Arabidopsis thaliana: one gene and its partner. The protein of the gene in region 1 interacts with the protein of each later gene in a pairwise test. Each region holds a gene or a part of one and is shown in the gene's direction. Other genes may lie near its edges. The genes, in order: AT1G08230 and AT1G22570.

The links.
Region 2: the proteins of AT1G08230 (region 1) and AT1G22570 interact in a protein complementation assay, tested with the Arabidopsis thaliana proteins (one large-scale study listed by BioGRID).

What each region holds. Positions count from the first base shown.
Region 1 is NC_003070.9:2,582,254-2,593,792, reverse strand, and holds AT1G08230 (Transmembrane amino acid transporter family protein), read left to right. Parts: upstream 1-6,823; 5' UTR 6,824-7,092; coding exon 7,093-7,180; exon of another isoform or gene 7,181-7,273; coding exon 7,274-7,504; exon of another isoform or gene 7,505-8,708; coding exon 8,709-8,993; intron 8,994-9,082; coding exon 9,083-9,213; intron 9,214-9,350; coding exon 9,351-9,590; intron 9,591-9,697; coding exon 9,698-10,078; 3' UTR 10,079-10,149; downstream 10,150-11,539. Other genes in the region: TIL1 (DNA polymerase epsilon catalytic subunit), read right to left, coding at 236-370, 454-540, 911-1,128, 1,206-1,294, 1,451-1,611, 2,037-2,132, 2,229-2,288, 2,411-2,476 and 1 more; ADT6 (arogenate dehydratase 6), read left to right, coding at 3,558-4,799; AT1G08220 (ATPase complex subunit), read left to right, coding at 10,505-10,669, 10,755-10,795, 10,933-10,996, 11,235-11,423. UniProt on the Arabidopsis thaliana protein: High affinity gamma-aminobutyric acid (GABA) transporter probably involved in GABA uptake into cells.
Region 2 is NC_003070.9:7,972,656-7,984,194, reverse strand, and holds AT1G22570 (Major facilitator superfamily protein), read left to right. Parts: upstream 1-5,384; 5' UTR 5,385-5,621; coding exon 5,622-5,745; intron 5,746-5,747; exon of another isoform or gene 5,748-5,813; coding exon of another isoform or gene 5,814-5,826; coding exon 5,827-6,044; intron 6,045-6,140; coding exon 6,141-6,700; intron 6,701-6,779; coding exon 6,780-7,575; 3' UTR 7,576-7,771; downstream 7,772-11,539. Other genes in the region: AGL87 (AGAMOUS-like 87), read right to left, coding at 193-684.

The sequences.
Region 1 (11,539 bases):
ATATGTAAAAGTAAGCATCGTCGTGCAAGATAATTCAGTACACAGTCTAGGAAGTACTTGAGCAGCGTCACTATTCTACTTTATGCAGAGGCACACTCACAAGGCCACTATAGAATGTCAGCGAATAATGTCACAAACTTTTATATACACTTTCCAAGTAGATATATTATATCCGTTTAGTCATGCAGACAGATAAAATTAATTCAAAACCACAACGAATAAAACTTTAGCATACCTCATTCATTTTTATCCCATGATGAGATGCTCTCCGTTCTATAAATGGCCAGTCAAAAAAGTCACCGTTGTATGTAACATAAATACCGGGTTTCAACTCTTGCATATGGTAAAACCATCTTTGGAGGAGTTCAACCTACAAGAAATAACCAAGAAATAACTCACCTGCACATCAATGTTTCTGATTTTATATTCAAATCAGGAGCTTAAGTATTTTACCTCATTTTTAACATTAGTAACTTTGAAATACCCTTCAAATTCTGGTTTTGGTGTATATTCCAGATCTTCTACATCTTCGCCAACACACTGAATTAAGTGCAAAGATGCTACATTAATAATCAAACAAGATTGCAGTAGTACAAAATATATAAGGAAAGCATAGAGCTGAGATATCAAACAGAGATGATATATGCAACAAAAAACGGTTAACATATCAGAATTTATGTTTTAAATTATAGCAAAATGTTATGCTAGTCCAAAAACAGTCTTAAAGTTACATCATACGAAATCAATTAAACAAGCGGGATAATCTTATATGGATCATTTCTACAAAAATGGCAAAGCAAGGCCATATAGTAGGTTCTCTAAATTAATGAATTAACAATCCCCATCCACCATGTAAAAAATCATCATTACAATATCAGATCCAATACAGACAAATGTATACAGCAGTTACCTCTCTGTTAATAATTAGAAAACCTTGCCCATCGACCATGTAGGATATCATCATAATTTGATCATATTCAGCATCAGGAAACTTCAACGGAAGCTTTGTTGTCTCTATATCGAAGGCACAAACACGGACTTCTGCGCGTTGAAGAAGATCTGTCCTCTTCTCCAATATGACATCGGTGCTGGAAATACTGACATTGTACCATTGCCCACTCCGCACATCTGGACACCAAGAAAACATCATGATTTTGACAATTTTGAGGACTAAACAGAAATTCTGGTTTGACTAAACAAGATACCATTATCAATTGCAAATCGAACATGATAAGGTACATCGTACTCGCGGAGGTCCACGATAGAGTCTAAGCAATCTTGAGGACGTTGTTCTCTGCGTTCCAAGAATAAAGATAAAAATGATCAGGACATCTGAAACCCTTAAAAATAAACTTGAAAAATAACTAAGAAACAACTTAGGTTAAGAGGTAAAAATTGAAAATCAACAAAACTCTTAAGTGATTTAAAAGAACAAAATTACATGTCTTACCGTTTTCCAGCCAATATGGATTCGTATGCTTCAAGTGCATCAAATTTTGCCTGGTTTCGTTCGACAATATGTAACAAATCCCGCTTGACTTCCATCAATTGTTGCACAGTATCAAATGATATTTTTAGGTATTTTTTTTGCAGGCCAGATAGATGATTTTTCTGCTCATGAACATAAAATAAAGGAACTCAAAATTGTGTATCACAGAAAAAAGCTACAAAGACATCCTAAGCGAATTGATAACTAAAAAGTACTGAAACCTTCATATCTTGCATACAATTGCACTAAAGGACAATCAATAAACACTTAAAGAAAACTAACTTTAACATCTACAGCCCATGTTACATACTAGCAAACGCCTATTGATTTCACCTAATGGATTCAAGACTACTTTTGGACTATTTACTACAAATGTTCAGTTTTGGGTTACAAGAAGAGGATAACAACTAAAGGTTGTAGCAAATATTTCTGATATGAGTAGAGAAACAACATTAATCAACTGGTGGAAGACACTAGTCAACTACATCACACAATGAGGAAGTCAGACTTAAACTAATAATAATCATAGTATGCTTTACTGACTTACAAGATCAAGATCTTCTTTTTCAACAATCTCAATATCAGCAACTTGTCTTTCATATCGGCGTCTCAAGTAGGCTTCGAGTTCCAATTCCATTTTGTCCTGTAATTTGGCATTGCAGTTTATTGACATATAAAATGAAAATACATGAATGATTCAAGGAGAATTCCGATAATGTCCAGAGAGAAACTATCATACTTTCGTGGCTGCATAAAAGTAAGGACGGAACTTGTACTTTGTCTTGAAAGAAAAGCCGTCCTGAAAAAAATCCTCAACTCAGTTAACTATTTAGAAAAATGCAACAACAAAAATATAATCGTTCATCAACTTATACGAAGCTGACATAGTAATGAGTAATGACCATAATTATAGCAGCTCACCTGAGTAACAAAGTAAAGGTCCACACAACTATAGACTTTCCCAGTATCGCGATCTTCCCAAGATGACTGCAAAACGTAGTAGATTATCCAATCAGTAAATACTAGTACTTTGACATTACCTAGAATCCTAAATTCTCGCACTAATGGAGTTTCATTGTATGGTTCAGTCGCCAATGCTTATATTTAATTTACAGAAATTCACATATAATCGAATCCGAAACCTACTCAAATACTCTCAATTAACAAGGTTGAGTCCAGATTAGAGTGTCGGAGAACTTACCGATGAGAATGTGAGTAACCACCCAAGTCGGGTTTCACCTTCAGAGAAAAGCCCAAATCCGAGTTTAGATTCGAGTTCATCTTCCGCAGTGTTCACTACCTTAGGCTTCTTCGACCACCGCGTATCCTTTCGATCCCGTCTTCGATTATCTCCGCTCATTTTGCGGCGATTATAAATTACGCGGGACAGAGAGAGATTCCTATATAGAGAGGAGCTTTATTCCTGGAGAAGCTTTGAAGGAGAATTTAGGGTCAACAAAAGGGCTTTTACTGGTAGGGCTTCGTGGATGCCGGAGAAAGTGAGTGAAAGAGTAGAGAGGAAAAAAAAATCTTTTATCATTTTCCCGCGCTTTTGGTATTGGCAACCAAATCACTGATAAGCCCCTCATTTTTGGACTCTAATTGGGCCTATCTAAAAGCCCATCTTTATCGCATTTGCATTTTGGATTTCGAACACAGCCTTTCCATTCGAGACGATGATGACAAATTAGGATTTCTAGCTCGAGGCGAAAACAAACTTCCTTCTTGTAGCTGTAGGTGTTCTCAAGCTCCGACTCACAAGTCACAAGTGTAGACTGTCTCCTTGAACTCGAATCACCTCCGGTAAAGTCTTAAACACTCTCATATCTCAATTGGGGTATGGAGAAAATCGGTTTATGAAACCAAATAACTTAAACCGGATCGGGTCGAATTAATTTTCAGTTAAATGCCGGTATGGTCCATACGACTGTGACTTGTAAGGTGGTTGTGGTAGGTGGAGAAGTGACCACACAAACGAACTACCCCAGGAAAACATGTTTTTCTACATTCTCGACTTTGCTATTTCATTGAGCTTGAATAACCAATTTTAAGACGCCATTGCTAAAACATGAAAGCTCTATCATCTTCTTCTCCAATATTAGGTGCTAGCCAGCCGGCGACGGCGACTGCGCTTATCGCGCGATCTGGTCGTTCTGAATGGCAGAGCTCCTGCGCTATTCTAACAAGCAAGGTTATTTCTCAAGAAGAATCTGAATCCTTACCTGTGCCTCCAGTTTCCGGCGGAGTTGATCATCTCAACGGCCATAACAGCGCCGCCGCACGAGTTCCAGGAATGAATCTTGTTCCGATTGAGAAATCTGATAGCAATCCGTTGGTTCCACAGCATCGTCATAATCCACTGAAACCCCTTAGCATGACGGATCTCTCGCCGGCTCCGATGCACGGATCTAATCTACGCGTCGCTTATCAAGGTGTTCCCGGTGCTTACTCTGAAGCAGCCGCTGGTAAAGCTTATCCTAATTGTCAAGCTATACCTTGCGATCAATTTGAGGTTGCGTTTCAAGCGGTGGAGCTTTGGATCGCAGATCGTGCTGTTTTACCGGTGGAGAACTCTCTCGGCGGTTCTATCCACCGTAATTACGATCTCCTCCTCCGTCACCGTCTTCATATAGTCGGCGAAGTTCAACTCCCTGTTCATCACTGTTTACTGGCTCTTCCCGGCGTTCGTAAAGAGTTTCTCACACGTGTGATCTCACACCCTCAAGGTCTCGCTCAGTGTGAGCACACGCTCACAAAGCTCGGACTTAATGTCGCACGTGAGGCAGTTGATGACACCGCAGGAGCCGCTGAGTTCATCGCCTCTAACAACCTCCGCGACACAGCCGCTATCGCGAGTGCACGCGCCGCCGAGATATACGGGTTGGAGATTTTGGAAGATGGGATTCAGGACGACGTGAGTAACGTGACGCGCTTCGTGATGCTGGCGCGTGAGCCAATCATACCTAGAACAGATAGACCGTTCAAGACTAGCATTGTCTTTGCGCACGAGAAAGGAACCAGCGTGCTTTTCAAGGTGCTCTCTGCTTTCGCCTTCAGAGACATTAGCTTGACGAAGATCGAATCGAGGCCGAATCACAACCGTCCGATCAGGGTCGTGGATGATGCCAATGTCGGGACGGCGAAGCATTTTGAGTACATGTTTTATGTTGACTTCGAGGCCTCGATGGCGGAGGCGCGTGCTCAGAACGCGCTTGCCGAGGTTCAGGAGTTTACATCGTTCTTGCGGGTGCTTGGGAGTTATCCCATGGATATGACTCCTTGGTCACCAACATCATCAACTTCATCGTAACCATACTATAGTCTATACACACATGAAAATGTAAATTTTGGAGAAGATAACAAAGTTTTATATTTACTGATCCATTCTGTTTGGTGTTTTACATTTGATTGAATTCGTATAAATCAATAAACAATTGGTAAAAATTTAAACTAAAATTCATAGAACATTGATTTGGAAGTTTTGATAACAGGGGAAAAGTTGTGACAATATGGTGGAGTTGGTAACAGAAATAAGGGTTTGGGGACAATCAATCATTGTGGTTTGTATGATAATTTCGTGTTGTCCTATTGGACCTGGGGTTGATAAACCATCGAGTCCAACAAGAACACAACATATGTACATATGTTTGGTGTATGCAAAATGTTGTCTTTTCAAATTTTCAGAAAAGATTGTTAAAAAATATAAATGCGTCTGCCGGGAGTCGAACCCGGGTCTATTGCTTGGAAGGCAATTATCCTAACCGTTGGACTACAGACGCTTTTGCATATCGAGCAAATAAACTATATATACATATAAACTTTGGATGTTGAGGTTAAAGTGAGAAAGATTTTAAAATACATATATATAGATATAATCTATATATATATTTTTGCATCCATTTTGTGAAATAAATCCTGGAGTTGAAACTTATTTACAATGGCTGTCACTGGCTTTTAATTATTAGTTTTTTCAGCAATAAATTGATTAACAAACGAAAAACATTCCAAATATATTTCAATCCCATATATCACGCAGATTTTTCCAAAATTTGAACTAGATTTCAGCAACTATTTAAAACAAAAAATGTTTGACAACCCAAAAGACAATTGCAATCCCTTAAAATGAGCAAACGCAACTAAATACATTTCTTATCAATTCACTAAATCTTATTTCTCCAAAATTTGAACTAGATTTCGACAACTATTTAAAACAAAATTTTGTTTGACAAACTAAAACACAATCGCAATCCATAAAATATTTATTTTAATTATAAATTTCAACTAGCGGGGTACCGCGGTTTTTTTTTACAGGACGGGTTTGGCAGAACGGGTTTGGAAGGACGTTACTTAATAACAATTGTAAACTATAAAATAAAAATATTTTATAGATAGAGATAATTTGCAAAATTTTATATATACTAGTTTAAATAAAAAAAATTATCTCCGCGGTGTACCGCGGGTTAAAATCTAGTCTATATATACATTTTTGCAACTATTTTGTGAAATAAATCTTGTAGTTGAGAATTATTTACAATGATTGCCACTGGATTTTAATATTTGTTTTTGATAATTAGAAAAAAAATCTTCGAATTAAATATTTGACATTTAATAAATTTTTTTAAAATCTCTTTACATTAACTACACGATTGGTTACTAAAATAAAACTTTCAAAATATTTAATATCATTTAATTACTACAAAATTATCATTATTGATATTGTTTTTCTTCATGACTATTACAATTCAATTATAATCATCAAACCGCAGAGATATTTGATAACATTTAATTACTACAAAATTACAAAATATTTAGACAATGATTCATAAACATATGATAAAGAAGATCAACATTAATAAAATAAATGAGCTTTTTTTACGGGATGGGTTGGCGGGACGAGTTTGGCAGGACGAGTTTGGCAGGACGAGTTTGGCAGGACGAGTTTGGCAGGACGTTACTTAATAACAATTCTAAACTATAAAATAAAAATATTTTATAGATAGTTACATAGATTGTTACAAATTACAAACTTTTATATATACTAATTTTAAAATATAAATTGTCCCTACGGTATATCGCGGGTGAAAATCTAGTATTATTATTATTAACCGAAAGAAATTTCTTTCAATTTTAAAAATTCTGTCAGTTATAATGAAAATGTAAAACTGTAATAAGGATTTAATATACATATTAACATGTTATATTGATATGTTATTACTATTATCCAATTTGCTTTTTCTATTACTGTTTGTTGGATGTATTGAAAATTTAAGATTGTCTCCAAAATCGATTATTTTGAAATTATATATAAAAAATAAGATTTAAGAGATTTGTTTCCAAAATATTTTGAATTCTCCATTTATTTTCATATTCTATCATATATTTTTTAAAGAAAATAATCAAGATATACACATTTTATAACTTCATAAATCGTTTGACACAGAAGAGAATCGATAAACTATAAATCTGCAATGTTTAATATTATTACGAAATGCTTTTAGGTAAAAGATGATATGATAGCAAGTGTGTTTTTTGGACTTATAAAAGTGAGTAGCACCTAGTGGGGGGAGAGAGAGAGAAAGAGAAACAAAGAGAGCGATAAAGAGATGGGTGGAGAAGAGAGATCAGGAGATGGAGAAAAAAGAGGGGAAGAAGTAGTTGATGCTGGTTCTCTCTTCGTCCTTAAATCCAAAGGTACGTTTTATTAATTATGAAATCTATGAAACTTAACGTATACTATTATAACCCATTTGAAGAAGATATGATGATGATGATGATGGAAACTAGGGACATGGTGGCACTGCGGATTCCACTTGACGACGTCTATAGTGGCGCCTGCGCTACTGAGTCTACCGTACGCCTTCAAGTTCTTAGGATGGGCTGCCGGGATATCTTGTCTGGTCGGAGGAGCAGCCGTTACTTTCTACTCGTACACTCTTCTTTCTCTTACTCTCGAACACCACGCTTCTCTCGGCAACCGTTACCTCCGCTTCCGTGACATGGCTCATCACATCCTCAGTAATTCTTTTTCTTTTTACATTTGCTCTTTCCTATAATCAAAGCTGCGACAAATTTACCTTAAGAGAATTTCATTCAAGATTGAGATGTATAGTTGTACGTAGACATACGTGTCTATATGAACTTCTATACGTAATAATTGACACACGGCCGGTACCACTCCAATAATTTCATCCACGCAATAAAGGAAGGTACATGTCCTACGTAATAATTTGTTTGAACAAAAAAAAAAGTTAATTTTTGTGTGAAAACGCGAGATGGAATACTTATAATCACGTTTGCTATTACGAACAACGGAATTTTATAAGAAACCAAGTAAACATTGGTATGAGCTCAACTTTTGTTCGTGGTTGGTTAATATCACAATATATGTATTGTGTAAACCTATGATTTTTAAAAAAATACTTTTCTATACTGTTTGGTCTTGTTTCGAATTATAAGAAGAAAAAAAACTAATCATATGGAATTCATATTATAGTGAATTTTTTGATATGGCTTGCTTCGGTTCAATTTTGTTGGGATCCGGATCGAAGTGTTGACCATTCCACATTTCCACTCATACCACTGTTAAGTTTCAACTTTTTCATGCGTTAGATAGCTGTCTCTTTCCGTGTCTTGTTTCATTTTTGATGCAGAAATTTGTCTTTCAAAACTAATTTCAATTTTTAAAAATATGTGCGTGTCAGAAGAGTATTCATAAAACGTTGGTGCCGACCAAAATTTAATCTTATATAAGTAAAGTTGGATAGGTTCGATCTGCTTTCAAAAGTAGAATATTCTAAATTTCAGATCCTACATAGGATTCGATCCAAATTAGGATAGTTACGCTTTGACTGTCGACTACCAAGGAAATCCACATGTCAACAAAACTTTTAAGACAAAATTTAACGTATTTATCTATGCAAAAACTACAAAATGATGAGAAAAAATTGATTGAAATTTTTTATCTTACTGGATAATTCTGTTTTAGTAGCTAATATGAAACTAAATCCATTATGCATCGAATCATCGATTTGGATTTTAGTTTTCATTAGAGTACACCGCTAATCTGAAGGATTTATAGGAATTCGATTTAGCCCACTTTTTCGGGACTGTATACAACTTTAATTAGGATAAGGTAAAGTATAATACAGGTTCCGAATGTTTGATTAGTTAAGATCAGTTTGGTTTTCCTCTTAACAATTATTGGGGTGTGTTTGATAAGGTCCGAAATGGGGAAGGTACTACGTTGGACCAATACAAATGGCGGTGTGCTATGGTGTGGTTATTGCCAATGCGCTCTTGGGAGGGCAATGCCTAAAGGCAATGTACTTGGTAGTGCAGCCAAATGGGGAAATGAAACTCTTTGAGTTTGTGATTATTTTTGGATGCTTACTTTTGGTTTTGGCACAATTCCCATCCTTTCACTCTCTACGATACATCAACTCACTGTCTCTCCTCCTCTGCCTCCTCTACAGTGCTTCTGCCGCTGCTGCATCCATCTACATTGGTACTCTTCTTTACTAAACCACTTTACTCTTAATTCTTAAACCTTTTATATTGTTACATTTAAAAGGTGAGTTTTCTGTTAAATATCAGGAAAAGAACCAAATGCACCAGAGAAGGACTATACTATAGTTGGTGATCCAGAAACTAGAGTGTTTGGAATCTTTAATGCTATGGCTATTATTGCTACTACATACGGCAATGGCATTATACCTGAAATTCAGGTTTCATTTTGTTTCCATTCTTTGTTTAGAACACCACTTTAATATTTATTCATCAAAAACAAAAGGGCAGTCACATGATCGACTCAGTTATATATATAGAGTATTTGATATATGAATACTATCTTCTTGCAACGCAGGCAACAATATCGGCACCAGTGAAAGGAAAAATGATGAAAGGGTTGTGTATGTGTTACCTTGTAGTAATAATGACATTTTTCACAGTAGCCATCACAGGATATTGGGCATTCGGTAAAAAAGCCAATGGACTTATCTTCACCAATTTCTTAAATGCCGAGACAAACCATTACTTTGTCCCTACTTGGTTTATTTTTCTCGTCAATCTCTTCACTGTCCTTCAACTTTCGGCCGTTGCTGTGGTAAATACAATTTTTTTTTAACGTTTTTCTTTCACATATATACATTGTTATTATTTTATTTTATTTTCGTCACATATATACATTGTTACTAATTTTGAGTTATGCAGGTATACCTACAACCTATAAACGATATTTTGGAAAGTGTGATCAGCGATCCAACAAAGAAAGAATTCTCTATCCGCAATGTCATCCCTCGACTAGTTGTGCGTTCCCTCTTCGTCGTGATGGCTACAATCGTTGCGGCAATGCTTCCATTTTTTGGAGATGTAAACTCCTTGTTAGGCGCTTTCGGTTTTATACCTCTAGACTTCGTTCTTCCTGTAGTTTTCTTCAACTTTACTTTCAAGCCGTCTAAAAAAAGTTTCATTTTTTGGATCAACACTGTGATCGCCGTGGTTTTTTCGTGTTTAGGGGTGATTGCTATGGTAGCGGCGGTTAGACAGATTATAATAGATGCCAATACGTATAAGTTGTTTGCGGATGTATAAAAGAACATGCAAAGCAAAGTGAGATTGTTATTTCTATATTTAAGAATAAGCCTTTTTTTTTCTTAGAAAAATGTTTATGATTATAAATTTGGAAAATAATATTCAAATTTTGATAACAATATTTTTACATAATTTAAATTAATTAATTTTGAATGAAATAAATACAGATGAAATAAATATCTAGAAAATTGATAAATCACAGTACAGGCCTGGAATATGAGCATTTGAAACCCAACGCAAAACAATTCCTAGAAACGGAAGCCCAAAAGTTGGGGGCTATAATTAAACCGGATTTAAAAAATCGGTTTGATTGGTTACCCACACAAAAATCTGGTTCAGGATTTTAGACTCGTTTTCAATTTCAAGCGTGTTTGGTTCGCCGGCAGAGAGACATAACCAAACAAATAGGGTTTAAGCTCTACTAAAATGGCGACGACGTTGAATCGAATCCTGAAGCATAGATCAGTCTCTGCTCTCAACAAGCATCATCAAGGACTCTTCTCCCTCACTCGATACGAGAATCATGACTCTCTCCCTTCTCAAATGCCAGCTCTTCGATCAACCACCCGTTCTTTCCTCGATTTTTATAAGGTAGGAAATTCTGAGAAATTATCAATTTCGCTTATCGGAGAAACGTTGTTTATAGATCTGTCGTTGTTGTTGTGGCTTTGCACAGTTCGGGAATAAGAAAGCAATTGAAGATGAGCGTGCTAGACTGTAAGCTTGCCTTTATCTAGATTCAATTCTTTTTGGGTTTTGCTCCTATTCAGATTCAGCATTGATTTGCTATCTGTTTCGACATAGATCGTCTCAATGAGAAGTTGATTAGTGGAATTTGATGTGATTTAGGGCAGTAATGATGAGATGAATCGGGGTTACTTTGCTGATATGAAAGAATTCAAGGAACATGGTGGTAAGGTATAATCATGCAACTTCTTCCACTCTCTCTCTCTTATTGGTAGGATCCACTATCACAGATCCCAGATTTTGTCTTCTTTGCAACGCCAATCTTAAAGGGTGGATTGTTTTCATTAGCTATGGCTTATATCATCTGGGTTCGCTTGTACTTAGTTATGCATGATTTAGATACCGTAGCCTGTAGGGATCTTGTATTTGCTTTATGAAGTTTCTTAACTGTCAATTGATGTTTTTGTAGATCGCAGCTGCAAATAAGACTATAATTCCTGCCGCTTCAGCCATCAAATTTCCGGTATTAGCAGTGACTTTCTCTAATGGAAAAAGCCTAAAGTTGCCTATTGCTCCCAACAGCAATGAGGTTGACACAGAGAGTTTGGTTGTTCCTAAAGTATCATTGGTGTGTCTGTCTTTCCGAGCAAGCTCTCAGGTACAGAAAATTCTACCTCGTCTTTGCTATACTCTGATTTCGAGAATGTTTGAGTTTATTAAAGATTACCGGAAGTGTTGCTTCTTAAGGTTACTAAACAATGGTTGCCTGACACA
Region 2 (11,539 bases), 5.4 Mb from region 1:
TCATAAACTGAAAAGATCATATTACACCATACAAAGGCCAAAGAGATTCATATCATTCTCCTAATCCTTCCTAGAGTGCAAAAGCAAATCATTGAACAGAACTTTAAACACCATCAATCGAAACCATCTTAATCTGAAAATAATTAAAAACCATGAAATAAAAATGATAAGAAGTTATTTGAAAACATCATCCTAGTCTCTCTTGATGATTGGTGCTCCTGCTTCAACAGCCTTGATTCTCTCTCTGATGGCTTTGAGCTTCTTATCAACCACATCAGCTGCTCTGGCCAGTTCCTCCGAACAATCAGTATCGGTGATTAGATCATTAGACCCAGCCATTAACCCAAGTTTCATCGCACGAGTATGCATCTTCTCCTTCTCCAACTTCTTCTCTGCGTCTTGGATCATCTTGTTCATGAGATCCTTCTGGTCCATCATGTATTTGGTCTGCTTCTCTACCGGAAGTTCGCTTAACCTGTTAAGAATAGAACGAACCTCGTTAAGGTTTGGCCAGAGCTCAGGGCCATCTTTGTATTCGCTGTAGATGATGGCACAAGCGGGTAAACCACATAGAACGGTCAGTTCATAGATCTTCTTCAATAAACCATCTTTGCGTTTTCTGAATGTAACTCGGCGAGTGGCGTTGTCAGAAATCAATTGGTGTGTAACTTTTCTTCTTCCCATGGTGAAAAAAAAAAATGAAGAAGAGAAGAGGATTTTGGGTGGTTTTAGGGACTAGATGGGTAAAATGTTATATAGAGAGTTTCTAACTTTGATTTTGGCTAGGTCCACAAAAGACGTTTCATCAAATTATAGAAAGGTATTATTTAAATATTAAAAAGCAAATTATAGAAAGGTATTTTTAAATGTAAAAAGCAAATTATAGGAAGGCTGTAACAGAAAAATACATATAAGATTTAAGGGAAAATATAGATATAAAAGCTTTCTAAATAAGAAGATTTATATCAATTTATTTTCATTTTATTAGTTGTCTTGTGTTTGTTAGTCTAATGAACCTGTAAAAAGAGGAAGGTAATATTTGCCTATTAATGTCCCTATATATGTTTTACCATATAAACAAGTTTGAACTTTTTTTTTCTTACACTAGACCAATCAGAAAGAGGATATGATGAGTTGTATATTTGTAATGTTGTAGACATGCATTTTCTTTACATAATTTTATTATACTACTGACAACAAGAAATTAATTTATCCTACATGTCAGTTAAACATTATAATTGGTAATCACAGAAGCCTATGCGTGGACAAAAAAAAAAATTGTTGAAAAACTCTGTGAGATTTAAAAATATATACAAAAGGCAATATGTAATAAAAGTTATGTAATTATCAATAAGAGTATCTCTAATTTTGTCTTTTTACATTTAATTACATTGTATTAAATATTTTCTTCCATTATTAGTCATAATAGTCTCATTACATTACTGATTTTAACTTTTCTAGTGTTAGGCCTTTATGATTATGATTTTTAAATTTGACTGACGTATGTAATTTCTGATGGTAAAAATAGTTATTCTTAATAGAGTTAATGAGTTATAGTATATACACATGTAGGAGGTGTGCATATATGTAAATATTTACAAATTACAACACATCATATTCTCTTCTATTTGGTCTATTGTAAAAAAAAGGGTCAAACTCTCTAATATGGTAGAACATATATGGGAACAGTAATAGGCAAAATATTTAGTTACATAGTTATTAACTCATTGGCTGTTGTGATTACTAATTGTAAAGTACTCGATTGGTATAGTTATATACACACTGATTCACTTCACACATACGAGGTGTGTGTGTGTAATATTGTATACTATTAAGTAATTATGTAAAAGCTAAATATGTAAGAATAATGATCGAAGCTTAGTTAATGAATTTTATCTAATATTTGAAATTATAATTCAACTACTTTCCTCAAAGTTTTCTAGTGAAAACTTATTCAAAAAAAAAAAAGAAACCACTAATTCAGCAAGAGAGAATAAACAATGAATGGGTAGACCAAACAATTGAAATTCCGTGGACATATATGTAATGTAATAGGCTAATAGTTAGATTAATGAACTTACCGTCTCACGGAAGGACTCCTTAAAGATCTGCAAGCCACTCTGACCGATTTGGTAGATTCGTTCGTTTTACTGTCGTCAACAATGAAAAAAATATAAAACAAACGTTAGATATCTAAAAATTAAGGGTTACTTTCAACAACAACAACAAATTTTGAAGAGTTAGACAGTAATTTTTTGTGTGGCTATTGATAGAGTCTCATCGCCAACACTCATGTTGAACTATTAGAAACAATACATACAAACATCGTTTCGGTGCCATTGTCATCGTCGATGTCGCTCTAAGAAACAGATCTAAAACTTTTAGAGAAGATATGGATATGTGGTGAAATGAGATGAATGGTGGATAATCTTATATTTATTTTAAAATTGGGCGGAAAAAACTATATTTTCGTAACTCTTTTTTAAGTAAGCAATATTTAGTTTTTTTTTTCTTTCTATTTTGTGACGCGTGTTATAAACTATTAAATATGAAATTAATTTTACATTTAAGATTCTGTAAAATGAGGAGATATGCATATATGGTGAAATTGAAATGTATGGTATATAATTTATTTATTTGTTTGTTTAGCAATTGAGCAAAAACTATTCTTGTAACGCTTTTTCATGTTTGACATGTTGATTTTTGTTTTTTGTGACACGATTTGTAATATAATGATATAATTATTAGCTTTTTAATATTTTTTAAAATGATGAAATTTACTTTGTCACACCTAAAATTGATAAAATTTTGTATTTTTTTAGAAATCTAATGTTAAATTATATTAAAAAAAAATGCAAACGTTTATACATCGAAATGCAAACTTTTCTTAAAACCGAATCAAAATATGGTTCAATCTATCTATCCTTGACTTTGTTGTGACGCAAACCACACTTAAAGTCCTCCAATGTATTTTTCTTCCCCTTTCATTGTTATGGTGCTCAAGCGGTTTCTCATATTTCTATCAATCAGCTTGACAAATTTCTCTTTTCTTGATGGTTTTTCTCCGTGTCTTCTATCATTCCTTTCACGCCAAATAGAGTGTATCGTGTTTTGGAACACATACCTTAGTATAAACCTTTTCGTTGTGTCTCGGTTTTTGTTCGCAAGCTCCCTCATGATATCCCGCCATTTTTCAGTGAACTTGTTTGCTAGGATCCCCCGTGCCAGCTCCTCCCACACCTTTCTCGAATACGGACATTGGAAGAACAAGTGCTCTCTTGTCTCCAAAGGATCTTGGCATAAGACACAGCTTTGATCTGCATTTTGGTTTCATTGAAACATCCTTTCCCCTGTTGCTAACCTGTTTTTCATCATTAACCAAGTGACAAACCCATACTTTGGTGTAGCGTACTTGCAAAATTTCGTACTTGCAAAAGAAGTTTCTACGAACTTAATGATGACGGAAAAAAATACATATGAAACACTCTACATAAACTAGTATTAAAATTCTTTATCTGCATGGTTGTTCCTTAAGATAGTTAGAGATCATTTTTGGGAAGTAAATAAATTTCCACTAAAACTTAAGACATTATTTGAAACACCGGTACACCGGTATAGTGCCTTCTAAAGAACATTCAATGTTCAAGACTTCCAAGTCATAATATTTTTTGTTTGACTTTAAAAGAGAGGAATCCATGTAAATATAATTTATTCGATGTTTGTTTGTATCTTTTCGTGAGCTTAAAGATATTACATATCTCGATCCTTTCAATATTGTTAGGTCATGATGCCATTTATCGATCTTCCGCATGTCACGCCGTTCAGTCTAGGCGTGAGTACCAATCCTAACTCCTAAGGATACGACATCATAGCAACTTAGCAACCATGTATGATAAAATGGTTCACACAAATTATTTAGGCCCGTATTTCGGCCCCTTTTGATTTCGAAATATTTTGGGCCTATAAAAAAGAGAGAATGTTTGAGACTCGAGAGTAGTAAGAAAGGAGAGAACGCAGGTTTTTTTTTTTAAATGAATGATTTCAGAGAACGCAAGTTATACACGTACTACACGTATAACACGTTCCTCAGCAAGACAACAATATTATCTTATCCTCAAGTGGATGCAAATAATATAAAGATTTTAATATTCATTTACTACATCAACCCCCAAGAACAAAAAATGTCTTCAACAAACAAATCTACAATCAACGAAACAAACGTAATCACCAAATATGAATCAATCAGCAGTATGCTGAAAATTGTTGCCAACATAATTTAAGCATGCGACTTTCAAAAACTCGAAAAATTGTCAACAATTTGAGTAATCCGAATTTTTCTGTTTCTATTACACATGAAAAGACAAAGTAACATTCAAAATCCATCTCATCTGCTTGGCGCGATAACATATCTGATAAGACTTTTTTTTGTGTGTCCAAAGCTGATAAGGTTTCCAACTTTATCAGAATCAATCTATATTTGACTATTCAAAACTGAAATACAGGAGATTATTTCTGCTATGAACAAATATTATTTTGACTATTTGACTGATCTATCACAAACATCTTAGCCAAAAAATAAAATTTAGTGACCACAGCTTGAGAAAAAAGGAAACATTCGTGTAGAATGTATTTTGCTGATTTGTGGAGAGTATAGTCTTGTGCTGTGAACAAATACATTCATATTACCCTGCAACTTGCAAGTAAAAAGAAGTTATGAAGTGACAGCTAATCAGGAGATAAGAATAACTCGATCATAAATACGGAACACCGCAACAAGCGGACCAAAGAGCATGCAAGTAGCCACTAGCCAAGTAGGAGAAAGAAAAATATACAACTACATAATAAATATTCCAAATTAAAAACTTATTGATTTAGTCTCAGCATTTATACAAATGTAAAATGTTTATACAAATGTTGTCTATTTTTTTTATTGTTAACGAATTTTCTAATTTTGAAATAATAGTGATCAATTATGTTGCTTTTGTGACTAAAAAGTAAGTGAATTTACAAATAAAATGATACGTCAAAATTATGGTTAGCTAAGCCTAAGTCTAAGAGCTTGAATGATATATGGATTTTTGGTCGATCCAACCCAAAAACATCTAAATATTCTATCAACATTTATACTCAAATAACAATTGTACATCACTAAGTTACATGTTTTTTATAACTTAATTTTAAGAATAAGTCGTGATCAATCAAATTACCCTTGATGTTGACTTTTGATTGAAAAAAATGACAAAAAGAATTTGCTGATACAAAACAAAACATGGCAAATATCTAGCTCGTACGTGTATCACTTGTCCAAAGGAAGTATGCGTATTATTGCGTAATAATACAATAATATCGGAAAGTTATATAAAATAAAAATACAAATAAGATAATGTAATTGCATACTTATTTTTTAACGCGTATAGTACACTCATCTCAAATGCCAATAAATATACAGATACACATAAAAGAAAGACTAGAAAGTTTAGTTACCCAAAATATCATAAATTAATGTAATCGTGTTCACTAGTTGCGCAAGACAAAGAGATCTTTTAGCTTAAAAATCTCATTTAGGCATTTACCCTTTAAAAAGTTTTCACAGAGATTCTCAACCTCTATTGGTGAGAGAAATGAAGATACCAGAGGAAGAAGTTGCACTCTTAGAAGATTACGTTAGCGATTCCGTCGACCACCGTGGATTTCCCGCCGGAAAATCTTCCACCGGCGGATGGAGATCGGCCTGGTTCATTATAGGTAAAACACATCAGAAACAATCCAATTTTTTTTCTTTTTCTAGTTAAACTTCTAAGTCCCAGTCTTAAATGATTTGTTTAGGTGTGGAAGTTGCAGAGAGGTTTGCTTACTTTGGGATTGCCTGCAATTTGATTACTTACCTCACCGGACCTCTCGGACAATCGACGGCGAAAGCTGCCGTGAACGTGAACACGTGGTCGGGAACTGCCTCTATACTTCCTATTTTAGGAGCTTTCGTAGCTGACGCTTATCTTGGTCGTTACCGTACTATTGTCGTAGCTTCCCTCATCTACATATTGGTTAGTACTTTTGTCTTCTTCTAGTTAAACCGGTTTGATCTTTGTATGATTTAAACCGGGATTTTAGCTGAATTTGGAGGATTATTATTATTACAGGGGCTAGGACTATTGACGTTATCAGCTTCTTTAATCATAATGGGATTATCTAAGCAACGTAACGACGCTTCTGCTAAACCATCTATTTGGGTTAATACACTTTTCTTCTGTTCTCTGTATTTGGTGGCGATCGGACAAGGTGGACACAAACCGTGTGTTCAAGCGTTTGGTGCGGACCAGTTTGATGCTGAAGATCCGAAGGAGGTAATAGCGAGAGGGTCGTTTTTCAATTGGTGGTTCTTGAGTTTATCTGCGGGAATAAGCATATCGATTATTGTGGTCGCTTATGTTCAAGAAAATGTTAATTGGGCGTTTGGGTTTGGGATTCCTTGTTTGTTTATGGTTATGGCTCTTGCTATCTTCTTGCTCGGGAGGAAGATATATAGATACCCAAAGGGACATCATGAGGAGGTTAATAGTAGTAACACTTTTGCAAGAATCGGTAGAGTTTTTGTTATTGCGTTCAAGAATCGGAAACTGAGGTTAGAACATTCTAGTTTGGAATTGGATCAAGGTCTATTGGAGGATGGTCAGTCCGAGAAACGTAAAGATCGGCTCAAGTAAGTTCGAATATTTTGTGTTTTGTTTTAGTCTTTTGGCATAATTTTGAGTGTAAATTTCTTTACCTTGTGTGACAAGTTTCCTAGCAAAAGCAATGATCTCAAGAGAAGGTGTTGAGCCATGTAGTGGTAGGGACGTGGATGACGCGAAGGCTTTGGTAAGGCTTATTCCGATATGGATCACATACGTGGTGAGCACGATTCCGTACGCTCAGTACATAACTTTCTTCACGAAGCAAGGGGTCACGGTGGACAGAAGAATCTTACCGGGAGTAGAAATTCCAGCGGCTTCTTTATTGTCATTCGTTGGTGTATCTATTCTCATCTCAGTGCCCCTATATGAGCGTGTATTTCTCCCGATAGCTAGGAAGATTACCAAAAAGCCTTTTGGGATCACAATGCTCCAAAGGATAGGAGCTGGAATGGTGCTTTCAGTCTTCAATATGATGCTCGCTGCATTAGTAGAATCAAAACGGCTAAAAATCGCTAGGGAACACGGGCTAGTGGACAAGCCGGACGTGACCGTTCCAATGTCCATATGGTGGTTCGTCCCTCAGTATTTGCTACTCGGGATGATCGATCTGTTCTCTATGGTGGGAACACAAGAATTCTTCTACGACCAAGTCCCAACGGAGCTAAGGAGCATTGGTCTCTCGCTTTCTCTGAGTGCGATGGGTCTTTCAAGCTTCTTGAGTGGTTTTCTCATCAGTTTGATTGATTGGGCTACGGGAAAAGACGGCTGGTTCAACTCTAACTTGAACCGAGCCCATGTGGATTACTTTTATTGGTTGCTCGCTGCTTTCACGGCCATTGCTTTCTTTGCGTTCTTGTTCATCTCCAAGATGTATGTGTATCGTCGGCTAGACCAAGTCTAAGAATTCAGAGTACTAGTTTTTTTTTTTTTTTGGTAAGAAGAATTCAGAGTATTACAGTAGAAACTCTATAAATTAATAATGGTGAGACCATGAAATTTTATTAATTTATAGTGATATTAATTTATCCTCTAAATTAATAAATATTAATTTATCGTATAAGTTAATAAATATTAATTTATAGAAATATTTACGTAAAGTACAATACTATATTCTTTTAAAAATATTTTTTAATGTAATTTTCTATATGCTTTGTTGTTTGCATATATAATTATGTTAGGTTTTTATTTTAATTTGACTTTTTTAATTTATTTTCGTCAAGATTTGTATCTGTATATCTACGACATTAACGTGAACGTAAACGTAAACATGAAAGTTAATCCAGTTTCTCTTTACACAAATCATAACAATGCTTTCTCAAATAAAAGATTTTACAAAATCAACTATGACGGATCAAATACGCAAATAGTTATGTGAGTACAACAGAGATCATATCAGTTGTATTTTAAAAAGAGTTAGTTTGAACAAAAATTTCATATAAAAATTAGTCTTAAGATATATACTTAAGATCTATGATTATTAATTTATAATATTATTGGGACTATAATTTTACATAGGGATTTTAAAAAAATTATTATCTTATTATTTTATCGATTTTGATTAATTTTTATATTGGCCCAACTTGGGACCGACAAAATTTATTAATTTATCGTGTTTATTAATTTATCGAGTATTAATTTATAGAGTCTCTACTGTAATTTTGTTGACTTTCATATCAAACTTGTACGTTAACATGTTTATAGTTTGACTTCTTTTTTTTTTTTCGTTTTATTTCCAAAGTATATAGAATTGGCAACTTAAACATAAGGTAGAGGAGCCTACCAAAAAAAACATATCTATCATTGCATGGGTTTGGATTGGATAGCATTTATTTTTGGTTTCACAACACCGATGGGTCCATTGTTTTTAAGATATTTGCAAATATTGAATAATTATTTTATCGTTTTTTTTTACAAGAACATGCTTTTATGTTGACATAAATCAGTGTGACCATCTATCTTTAAGTACGTTGTTTGTCCAATTCGTAAATTGCAAGCAAATCTTATCCTTCTTGAACGATTTGCTGAATGGGCCGAAAGAAATTGAAGATTTCGAAACTGGAGGACAAAAGAATTTGAAACTCAATCATTACCTATTACTCCACTTGGAGAAAGCTTGGACCAACTTTGGATCTTGTGGAAGGAACAAAGAGCATATAGTATATATCATGTGTACACGCCATGTACCGATGATATACGTATTTGAAAGCGACGACTATGTTAGATAACTTGTGACTCTTAATTACTACTCAAGCAAATATTAAAACCATGTGTTACACGAAATGGGCCAAAGTGTCGGGTCATTTAATTTCTTACACAAGGGCAGTGAGGAGTGGTTGAGAAACTAAAGGCCTAGGAGTTATACGCGTTAGGCATTCAGCTACTACATATTATAAGAAAATAAAGACATTTTTAGTCTTCATCTAACTATTTCAAAGAAAGTAATAACGAGAGAAATTCACAATCAACTTTGTCCTTGGGACACTGACAAACACACAGCTAATAAATCAGAAAATATTAGTTCTGCGATTGAAAAATATCTTTTGTCCTTTTCACTGTTCTATCAAACTCCTTTTAAAAGAAGTTTAAGCAAATAACACGTATAAAGCCAACGAAGATTTAATTTAACAAATCAATCAGTTTTTTTTGTCCCGCATCGATTTTTGGGGTCTGGACGTAAACACTAAACAGTGTAAGTTATGGTCGTGCACGTGGAAAATTGTTTACCTTAAAAAGTAGAAAGAACGTGACGATAGTTGAACAACAACAAAAAAAGAAAGAAAAAAGAACGTGACGACAGCGTAACAATGAGAAATAATTGGATCAATGAATACACTGAACGGCCTACCTAGATTCATTTTATAAAGAGAAAGCAACAGAGATTTCAGAAAAAGAAAAAGCAAAAGCTAGGTTATTCATAATTCTTTTTTTTTGTCGCAAAGGTAGATTACTTGTTATATTAGATATTAGCACAATTACAACTGACTTGCAGAAAGTCATACCAAAAAATGAGACCAAGGGGCACAAGAAACACCCACTAAAAGGTCAACCCTGAGAATCCAAAAATTAACAGGGCAACAAAAGAATAAACCTCCCAAAAAGCAAGGAGCCAAAAAGCAGAAAGTCTTCAGTCCACAGAGGTTAGAACTCTCTCATCCCTAAAGACACCAAGAAGCCAAGCAGGAAAACTTACGGCCACGTACGATTGAAGCCTACACTCCTTAGTAACACTTTGGGCAATGAGATTAGCACCTCTATTCGAAGACACCGATTCAAGCACCACTTTCCAAACTGCAATACCATTTAAAGCTAACAAGATCTCCGAAGACTGAAACCTAAAGGAAGGCCAAGCTTGCGGCCTGTTTATCACCCCAACAAGCACCGCAGCTTCCACACCAAAAACCACCCTATTCACATGATGACTAACCATACTCTCAACAGCCCAAACAATGCTTAGAAATTGAGCCTCCAAAAAGGAGGAAATATTGGAAAAGGCTCTTCTACTGTGCATCAAGACATTGCCTCTGTCATTCCTCAAAACCCAAGCAACCCCTGCAAGTCTATTTCTTCTAGACCAAGACAGACCAACATTACACTTCACCCAATCAGTAGGAGGAGGCAGCCATCTAACAACAGGAGACACATTCCTAGGGGAAAAAACCTGCTGATCACTTTGACCCACTTCAGCCCTCCTTTCTTTTTCTACAACCTGAGCAGCAAACCAATCCTCCACATCTTTCCTCACTTTCAATATAGTTTCAAGAACAGTAAATCTTTTTCCTTCAAAAAAGAAAAGATTCCTGTTTTTCCAAATCCTCCAAATGATCCAAGGAAAGCTTCTTCTAAGTTCAACCGGCCACTTGAGGTTATCTCTGTTTATCAAAAAATGGTATAAATTTGCATAAACAGAGCCACATTCGAAACCTAACAACGGTACATGGATATTAGACATTGCCCACACTTGTCTTGGAAAAGAGCAGCTAAAAAGAACATGCTGAATAGACTCCCCTTCACAGCCACAAGTTTGACATCTAGAGTCCAACTTCATTCCTCTATAAGACAAAAGATCCACCACAGGAATGGCCCCACTAAGCACTTTCCACAGAAAAACCTTAATTTTTGGTTCAGTCTGAAGCTTCCAAACCTGAGTCTTCAAGTCATTAAGAGACGGTTGCATCATAGCCTCTATAGCCACTTGTCCTAAATTTTGATTAGAAGCCAACCAATACCCCAACTTGACTGAGTAGTCACCACTCTTATTGTGCTTCCAAATCCAGAAATCATCTAAAGACACCACCGGTCTATTCTCCCTTATTTTAACTACATCATCCGGGAAAAACTGCTCCTCCAACTTATCAAGTCTCCAATCTCTTTTCTCATAGTCAATAAGGTCAGAAACCAGGAGGTCAACATTGATGATTGGATTTTTAATCCAGGGAGCTCTCAGTCCATTATCATCAAGCCAATAATCAATCCAGACCCTAATACTCTTCCCATTCCCAACTCTTTTTACAAGACCTCTGCACAAAAGATCTCTCCCATGAAGGATGCTTCTCCAACCAAAGGAAGGTCTAGAACCCACATCACTATCTAAAAACTCACCAACAGGAAAATAGCGGCTCTTTATAAGTCTTGCAAAGAGGCAATCCGGGAACTGAAGCAATCTCCAAGCCTGCTTTGCCAAAAGCGCCTGATTAAAAAGGCCAATATCTCTAAACCCAAGACCACCATGCTCCTTAGGTAAACACAATTTCTCCCAGCTCAACCAATGTATTTTCCTTTGATGATCATTAGCGCTCCACCAGAAATCTGCCATAGCACTGGCCAGATTAGTGCAAGTAGTCTTCGGTAATTTGAAACATGACATG